2 linked regions of the Danio rerio genome follow. Each later gene encodes a partner of the first gene's protein in a complex. Links are inferred from orthologs where the notes say so. Each region holds a gene or a part of one and is shown in the gene's direction. Other genes may lie near its edges.

The links.
Region 2: mta3 (region 1) and cdk2ap1 share a complex: the UniProt entries of both Homo sapiens proteins name them as parts of the nucleosome remodeling and deacetylase (NuRD) repressor complex. The link is inferred for Danio rerio from reciprocal best matches to the Homo sapiens genes MTA3 and CDK2AP1.

The regions. Positions count from the first base shown.
Region 1 is NC_133187.1:27,003,943-27,008,375, forward strand, and holds the start of mta3 (metastasis-associated protein MTA3), read left to right. Parts: upstream 1-1,472; 5' UTR 1,473-1,533; exon of another isoform or gene 1,534-1,637; 5' UTR 1,638-1,675; coding exon 1,676-1,703; intron 1,704-4,433. UniProt on the Homo sapiens protein: Acts as a component of the histone deacetylase NuRD complex which participates in the remodeling of chromatin.
Region 2 is NC_133185.1:50,699,440-50,703,962, forward strand, and holds the start of cdk2ap1 (cyclin-dependent kinase 2-associated protein 1), read left to right. Parts: upstream 1-1,482; 5' UTR 1,483-2,159; intron 2,160-4,523. Other genes in the region: sbno1 (protein strawberry notch homolog 1), read left to right, coding at 1,303-1,445. UniProt on the Homo sapiens protein: Inhibitor of cyclin-dependent kinase CDK2. Also acts as a component of the histone deacetylase NuRD complex which participates in the remodeling of chromatin.

The DNA.
Region 1 (4,433 bases):
CTCTCGAAATTATTTTATAAATAAATCACACACAGTGAAAGAATGTGTGTGTGAATGAGAGAGTGTATGGGTCTTTCTCCTCACTGGGTTGCAGCTGGAAGGGCTGCATAAAACATATGCCAGAGTAATTGCCGGTTCAATCTGCTGTGGCGACCACTAATAAATGAAGGATAGTGAGTGAGTCAATGCAAGGCTATGTGTTGACTTTTCTTAATGGTTGGTCTTTGGTGGCTGTTACTTGCTCCCTCGCTCATCTTCTTTAAGCTTAGTTCCTGTTTTATCAGGGGTTGCCACCGCGGAAGAAACCACCAATTAGTCTGGCATATGATTTGGATGCCCTTCATACCCGCAACCCAACCCCGAGAGTACACTAATTCATGAACCCCTGTACTGGAAAGGCAGTTTCATTATGTTTATTCATTCATGATTTTACCAAAAGTGACTAATTAATGAGGACTATTTGATTTTTAATTAAAGCTGTCAATAACAGCATAAATAGGCCCAGCCAATCACACTGTCCTTATGTGTTTGTGGGAGGGAGGACCCAGGAAGAGAATGTCACTAACCATTTCTGCATATCTAGGTTAACAAGGGTTGATGGAGCATTATTTTATTTTGAAGGTGATTCAATTATTGGTGGGGATAGTTCAGTAATTGATAGATATTGGTGGGGACATATGCCCTCCATCCAGGCCAAATCTACACCTTTGCTCTGGACTGTGGGGGAAACCGGAGCACCTGGAGGAAACCCACACAAACACAGGGAGAGCATGCAGACTCCACCCAGAAATGCCAACTGACACAGCCAGGACTTGAATCAGCAACCCTCTAGTTGTGAGGCGATAGTGTTAACCACTGAGCCACTGTGCCACCTTAATGAGGTAAATAAAAGAAAAAATAAATAATAATAATAAATTCACAGCAGATTGAAAGGCAAGTACTTTTTCGGTTGTTAAATATATTATTATTTCATATACAATATATTGTTTAAACTATTAAAACCTCAATAAAAGTATTTTTTAAGAACAACAGACACAGACAGATAAAGTAGCATGCTAATAAAACCAAACAAAGTGTCAGCATTTATTATTGGTGTTAACTGGGTTTTGCCACTCATATAAATAGGTTGCTAAAACATTGTGCATCGGGTTGTGATATGTTCAAAACTAAATTAAACAGTGAATCAAGTATATCAATCTTGTTTTCCACAATTGACAGCTTTTAAAAGACACTTATTGTCATAACAAAAAAACTGGCAAAATATGAAAACGTTATTTTAAATGATTTAAATGCACATCAAAACCATGATTAATTGAATTCTGTGGGTAAAACAGTCATGAGTGTCGTGTTGAGGTTGCAGTCTGTAGACTTCATTCACCCTCCTTCTTCCTTCCCTCCTCTTTTCTCTCCTCCTCTCATCTCATCATCAGGAAGCTGCTGCGCTCGAGCCTTTTCTAGCGCGTGAGTGAGTTACTGTATTGTACTGTGAATCTCGGGAGGGGGGCTGCAAAAAAATCTCCTATTCTTACTGAGGTCCACCCCCCTTATTTAAAACTTCTTAAGCCAGATTGCTTTCCAACAGGTCACAGGACGTAGATGCCTTCTTGATTCACATATTTATTTTGTTTTTATTTTAGTTTATGGTTTGGTTTTTTAACACTCCGGGAGGGCAGAAATGGCGGCCAACATGTACCGGGTCGGAGGTATGTCCGTCTATATTCTGAATTAACGCAAGTCAAAACACAGGCACCACCGTAAGACCTGACTGGAAGGCAGGGACTCATTTCAAGCGAATTCCCGAAACCGGCCGCTCACTTTTAAACTCTTTAACACGTGCAGTGTCCTTGCAAAAGAAAACGATAACGTGGATGCAGAATATTTTGGGTTCTGATTTGGGTCAGGCCTCTTAAACTATCATAGCCGCACTAGCATTTTAGCAAGCAGGCTATGTTGCTAGCTAGCCACATCATAAACAAATAATCACTACTATATGTAAAACAATCGGAAACGCGCACTTAGAGCACGTTTCTCTTAGATTTACCCACATAGGTTAAAAGCGAGATATGCTTGCTATTTAACCATTGCAATTTTAGACGCCGATGTTTTTCTTTGTGATCATTTGTCTCATTTTTTGGCACGTATCCATTAGTTACGGGTTCTCATTCGGCATGCAAGGTAGCAAAGCGAGCTAGCATTTAACACCCCTCACTCGATTTCCTTAGAGAAACCACATTCAACTTCTGCCCACTTATTTGCCGAAGCGTTAAGAATTTGCACTGTTTTGATGTGCATTTGTTGTCACGCGTGTAATTAACAGCGTGTATTTAACAATACCGTCGCGTCGTTTGTTTGTGCAATTAGCCGGCTACATGCCGCGGAATTTGACATTGTTTCATGGCGGCGATAATGCAGTGCCATTGAAAATGCTTTTGCAGCTGGACGAGCAAACTTCCTATGAATTCACTGCAAATCTAATAGCATTTGTAATAATTGAATACTTTGCGCGGTTACCTTATGACATGCTCCTTGTGTGATGTTATGTGTTGATACATGTGTAAGAATGTCATTTAAATGGCAATGAAGAGAAAATGCTTGTTTGCATGAATGAAGTGTTTGTTAATGAATGCACATTCTTCACCTCGTCGTCTTGTTTTTGACAAATGCTATATATACAAATGTATCCCAGAAACAAACCATTTCTTAGCCTCAGTCAAAGGCCAAGCTGAAGGTCTTAGTGTCTTGTCAGGTCACACAACACAATTGGTAATGTTTTAGAATAGTAAAAAAAAACATTGCATTATAAAATGTGCCATTTCTAGGGATTTTCATCATTACCGTAATGTAAGTGCAAGAAGAATTCCTGCAATCGAAATGATAATGTTATCAGTTATGCCTAACTGTAAGGAATGTATCCTTTACCCAAAAATTCTTTAGTGTGCAAAATTGTCCGAGGCATATGCACAGTGCTGTGACTTGAAATACATGGTGTTTAAGTTTACATACATGCCTTTAGTTGCCATGATGGCATCAGGTAGAGAACTTATCGATGGAAAAAGTAAAATTTCACAAAAAATGTATGTTGCTGGTTTACGAATGTGTATGTCGTTGCCAACAGGGCAAAAATAGCAATAATGAGATCTGTTGGTGTTACTTCCATGCTGTTTTCTAAAGTGTGATATGATGTCACAAGTTTCAGTCGCAAATGTTTCAATCAGAATGTATAAAGCAAATAAACTGATGTTTGAATCTGATGATAGTTTTTAGATTGTGTAAACTGATGTGCAATTCGATTTAATTCATTTAGATGAACAGAAATTGGTGCATGAAAGCATGTCTGGTGTTTAATGTAGTTTTCTGGCTATAAAAGCAGAAACAAAACCTGCTTCACTCCTTATTTTCATGCTTAAATATATGGTCCACAAGCTTATATCACAATATTATATATAAAAATGACAAATGGCTCATTCATACATCCAAACATAGACTCTCTTAAATGTTTACATGTCTGTACTGCACTTCAATACTGCAACTAGATCGGCATGTGGCACATGTTGTAATTCGATTTCTGTTTAGTTCGATTATGACATTAATTGGATTGTTATTTTTTTATTGTGGTTTACATGGTAGACTCTTAATCAGAGTATTGTCTCGAAATGGATTATTATTATCCATGTAAACAATAATGGATGTTTAAATCCATCTCATTTGGCTACTTTACTAATTTACTGAAGTGGCCAAATGAGATGGATTTAAACATCAGTTATTGTTTACATGGACAACAATTATCTGATTTGAGACAATACTCTGATTAAGAGTCTACCATGTAAACCACAATAAAAAAATCTAATTAACGTCATAATCGAACTAAACAGAAATCAAATTACAACATGTGGCACATGCCGATCTAGTTGCAGTATTGAAGTGCAGTACAGACATGTAAACATTTTAATCAAACTGGTACTGTTGTGTAGGATTTTCGCCGCATTTTGCGTCAAGATACAGTAGTCTATACCAGGGATGGGCAAACTTGATCCTCGAGGGCCGGTGTCCCTGCAGAGCTTTGTTCCAACACTAGTCAAACACACCTGAACAAACCAATCAGTGTCTTCAAGATCACTAGAACTCTATGATGAGGTCTATTTGAATAAGGTTGGAGCTAAACTATGCAGGACACTGGCCCTCCAGGATCAAGTTTGCCCACACCTGGTCTATACACAAACACACGGCTGTTTGACATTATTCTTTGCACCTACCAAGTCAGTGAAGGACTACAGACACCTGCATCGTGAAATGCAGAGGTGTTTTTCTCAATAAGGTGTCTGGTATCAAATTTCATTAAAACAACACTCTTGCAGCAGTTCATACTCGCATTCAATATTTCGTTTGTCTAAGGGGGCATACATGAGATATTGTTGAATGAAAGTGAAGTGCCA
Region 2 (4,523 bases), on another chromosome or scaffold:
GTTTGCGGTAGTTCGCTTTGAGTGTGCGTGATGATTTCGGCTGGCAGAGTGTGCCGTTATTTCACTGACAAATGTCGCAAGTGCAGTTTTATAAGTCGGGAGCGCTGTAATACGAGAGAGCGAATCTCTGCTCACGCACCGGTTTCCTTCATAGACAAAACTGCTCGCGAGCTCTCAAAACACCGGCTGCTCACGTGCGAATGATCTGCTCTCGCTCGGTCGCACTCCTCTCGTGCTTTTCCAGAGATGCTTCAGCGTACTGTAGTGTTAAGAATAGTGAACTGATAAATGAAATACAGTGCAGTTTTACTACAGTAAAGTGTGGTGAATTGTAGAATAATATACAATATATTGTAAAAAACTTAAGCACTGGGGAGTTTATTATACACTTACCATAGCAACTGTAGTATTACCACAACAGAGTAACTGAAGCACTTTACTGTACTTCACACAACACTGTACAGCAGACACGTGTGCACTTTATTTCAGTGATAAAATGGGACTGATAGTGGGATTTATTTGAAGAGTGAACAGTACAGTAGGCTATAATACATAATCAAGTCTTTACCTATTTTCTATCACAGCTACACTTCTGCTTGCCAGATTGACCAATAATTATTGGCTAGAAACTGCAACAGCCATGGGAAAGGAGGAAAGCTTTTGTAAAACTTTGGGAAAACTCTGAGGGATGAGTTTGTTAAAACAAAAAAGAGGCCTTCAAAAACATCTTCAGTGATGATGATGATGATCTTTTTACTCGTCTGATTTTACTGTCTGTTGTTTTGGAGTGCCCCCTGTCAAAAATATATCTCAATGGTGAACGTGTCGAGTATAAAAGTCTTAATCTGTTTTGTGAGTTGTGCGGCGCCAGGTGAAAGTATAAATCTGCATTTAGATGTTTGTTTTTCTGTAGTTCACTGGTGCATTTAACCTGACTTTACTACTGTTCAATCTAAATAACTTTATTTTACCCCTAATTTTGTGCTTCTACATTTTCTGTCGTGTGTTCTTGATATTGCGATATAGGTCTTAAATTTAATACTTAATGGTCTTAAAAAGATCGTAAAAGGTCTTAAATTTGACATCATGATATCTGCAGAGACGCTGTTAACATGCTATACAGTGCAGAAGTGTGTGATTCGGGACACAGCCAGAGCCTCACTCCTCCTCCGTGTGTGTGTGTGTGTGTGTGTGTGTGTGTGTGTGTGTGTGTGTGTGTGTGTGTGTGTGTGTGTGTGTGTGTGTGTGTGTGTGTGTGTGTGTGTGTGTGTGTGTGTGTGTGTGTGTGTGTGTTTTCCTCAGGTCTGATCATCCCGCAGAACTGTGTGTCTCCGCTGGTCAACATCCTGTCATCATCAGATCAGAGTCAGCAGCTGGCGGTGCAGCAGCAACATTTATGGCAGCAGCTGCACCCGCAGAGCCTCACACACACACCTCTCACGTAACACACACACACACACAGGACAGACCGACTGCGCTCAGGGTTTCCCACAGTCCCCCGGGGTCTGCTTCTCCTCCAGCATGCGGACAGACGCTCTGCATGGATCAGCTCCGCTTCAGGACGTGGCTCTGTCTCCTGGCCGTCTGAGAGCGTGTGGCGGGCCGGCTGGAGCCTCTCCAACTCTTGCTTTTTAATGGTTCTTGTTTTTGTGTTGTTGTGTGGAGGAGCGGCTCCCGGAGCTCGTCTGCTGTACATGTTGGACTCTTCTCTCTCCGTGTATATCTGACATGTGATGTTCTTCTGCTCTGCGTGTCCTTCATCTCTGCACGAGTTGCACTACTGACGGATCTGATGTACAGAGAATATAACTGACTGCAAGACCTCTACCTCTTGCATTTGACCAATAAATCTTGTGGATTACCTCGATTTGACGGCTGTGGTTCATGTGATGTGCTCCTCTGTTGTGTTCAGCTCAGTGGAGGAGAGGAGACGGCACGCCTGCTCACCTTTACATTCTGCAGTTCATCTGCAGTTATAAGTGAGAGTAAGTGAATCATGTGCATTTATACAGTTCATACACATGACGACAACACCACCAGTGTGCAGGACAACAGCGCCAGTGCTTCACCACACACCAGCTAGAGGTGGAGTGGAGAGACAGTGATGGAGCCAGTTCAGTGGATGGAGCTGATGGAGGGAGTTTGGCCAGGACACCGAGGTTACACCCCTACTCTTTACCAGAAGTGCCCTGAGGTTATTAATGAGCACAGATAGTCAGGAGCTTTGTTTTAGGTCTCATCTGTAAGACTGAAAACCACTGATAGCCCCACCCTAAATTACTGAAAGCTCTGCCCTAAATTACTGATAGCCCCACCCTAAATTACTGAAAGCTCTGCCCTAAATTACTGATAGCCCCACCCTAAATTACTGATAGCCCCTCCCTAAATTACTGATAGCCCCTCCCTAAATTACTGATAGCCCCTCTCTAAACTACTGATAGCCCCTCTCTAAATTACTGATAGCCCCTCCCTAAATTACTGATAGCCCCTCCCTAAATTACTGATAGCCCCTCCCTAAATTACTGATAGCCCCTCTCTAAATTACTGATAGCCCCTCCCTAAATTACTGATAGCCCCACCCTAAACTACTGATAGCCCCTCCCTAAATTACTGATAGCCCCGCCCTAAATTACTGATAGCCCCACCCTAAATTACTGATAGCTCAGCCCTAAATTACTGATAGCCCCACCCTAAATTACTGAAAGCTCCGCCCTAAATTACTGATAGCCCCACCCTAAATTACTGATAGCCCCTCTCTAAATTACTGATAGCCCCACCCTAAATTACTGATAGCTCCTCCCTAAATTACTGATAGCCCCTCTCTAAATTACTGATAGCCCCTCCCTAAATTACTGATAGCCCCACCCTAAACTACTGATAGCCCCTCCCTAAATTACTGATAGCCCCTCCCTAAATTACTGATAGCCCCACCCTAAACTACTGATAGCCCCTCCCTAAATTACTGATAGCCCCTCCCTAAATTACTGATAGCCCCTCCCTAAATTACTGATAGCCCCACCCTAAACTACTGATAGCCCACCGTAAATTACTGATAGCTCCACCCTAAATTAATGATTGCTCCGCCCTAAATTAATGATAGCCTCAACCTAAATCACTGATAGCTCCACCCTGAATTACTAATAGCCCCACCCTAAATTAATTATTGTCCCGCCCTAAATTATTGATTGCCTCACCATTAATTACTGATAGCCCCACCCTAAATGAATGATAGCCCCTCGCTAAATTGCTGATAGCCCCACCCTAAATTAATGATTGTCCCGCCTTAAATTACTGATAGCTCAACCCTAAATTGATGATTGCCCTGCCCTAAATTAATAATAGCCCCGCCCTAAATTACTGATAGCTCCACTCTAAATTAATGATAGCCCCGCCCTAAATTGTTGATAGCTCCGTCCCTAAATTAATGATTGCTCCGCCCTAAATTAATGATGGCCTCACCCTAAGTTACTGATAGCTCCACCCTAAATTAATGATTGCCCCGCCCTAAATTAATGATAGCCTCACCCTAATTTACTGATAGCTCCACCCTACATTAATGATTGCTCCGCCCTAAATTAATGATAGCCTCACCCTAAGTTACTGATAGCTCCACCCTAAATTAATGATTGCCCCGCCCTAAATTACTCATAGCTTTTCCTTGAACACAGACAGTTCAACTTTAAATTATTTCTAGCCCCGCCCTAAATTACTGAAACCTTTTCCATCCAGACACTGATGCGGCTGTGGCAAGGTAAAAAGTTGTAAGACACGATGTCGTCACGTGGAGGAGTTTATGCGTCTATAAATCACGTATTTCATATTTAGAGGGTGAAAAAACAATTCTGGCGTATTTGAAGAATTTTAAAGGGACAGTTCATCCATAACTGACAATGCACTCACCCGAGAGTGTGTTAAACTGTTATAGGCTTCACTTCTCTGTCAAACACTGAAGATGATATTTTGAAGAATGCTGGAAACCTGTAACCATTGACTACCATAGTGTCTGCTTTTCTATTATGGCAGTCAATGGTTACCGGTTTTCAACATTTTTTTTTTTTAACATCTTCAAACAGAATAGTCAGAGTCAAAAGTGAGTAAATATTGATTTTTGAGTGTACTGTCTCTTTAAAAATGTTACAAGCCTGTAACCATTGACTTCAATAGTGTGAAACAAATACAGTAGAAGTCAATGGTTACCCTTTTCCAGCGTTCTTCAAAACATCGTATTTGGTGTTCAGCAGAAGAAATAAAGGTGGTGTGAGAGTTAAAGGGTGAGTAAATGAAGACGCTATTGTCATGTGTGGGGGAACTGACCCTTTAGCTCATGGCTCTTAAACTGGATTCCTGCAGTTTTCCCCACTCCTAAAGCTGGTCAACCAATCGAGATGTTCAACACTACTAGAGACTGTTAAGCAGCTGTGTGGTGGAGATGGAGGTGGTTGGAGATGAACTATGCAGAGCTTGTTTGAGTTTGAGACGGCTGCTGTAGTTTCTTTAACACGAGTGTTCATGATCAGAACTCA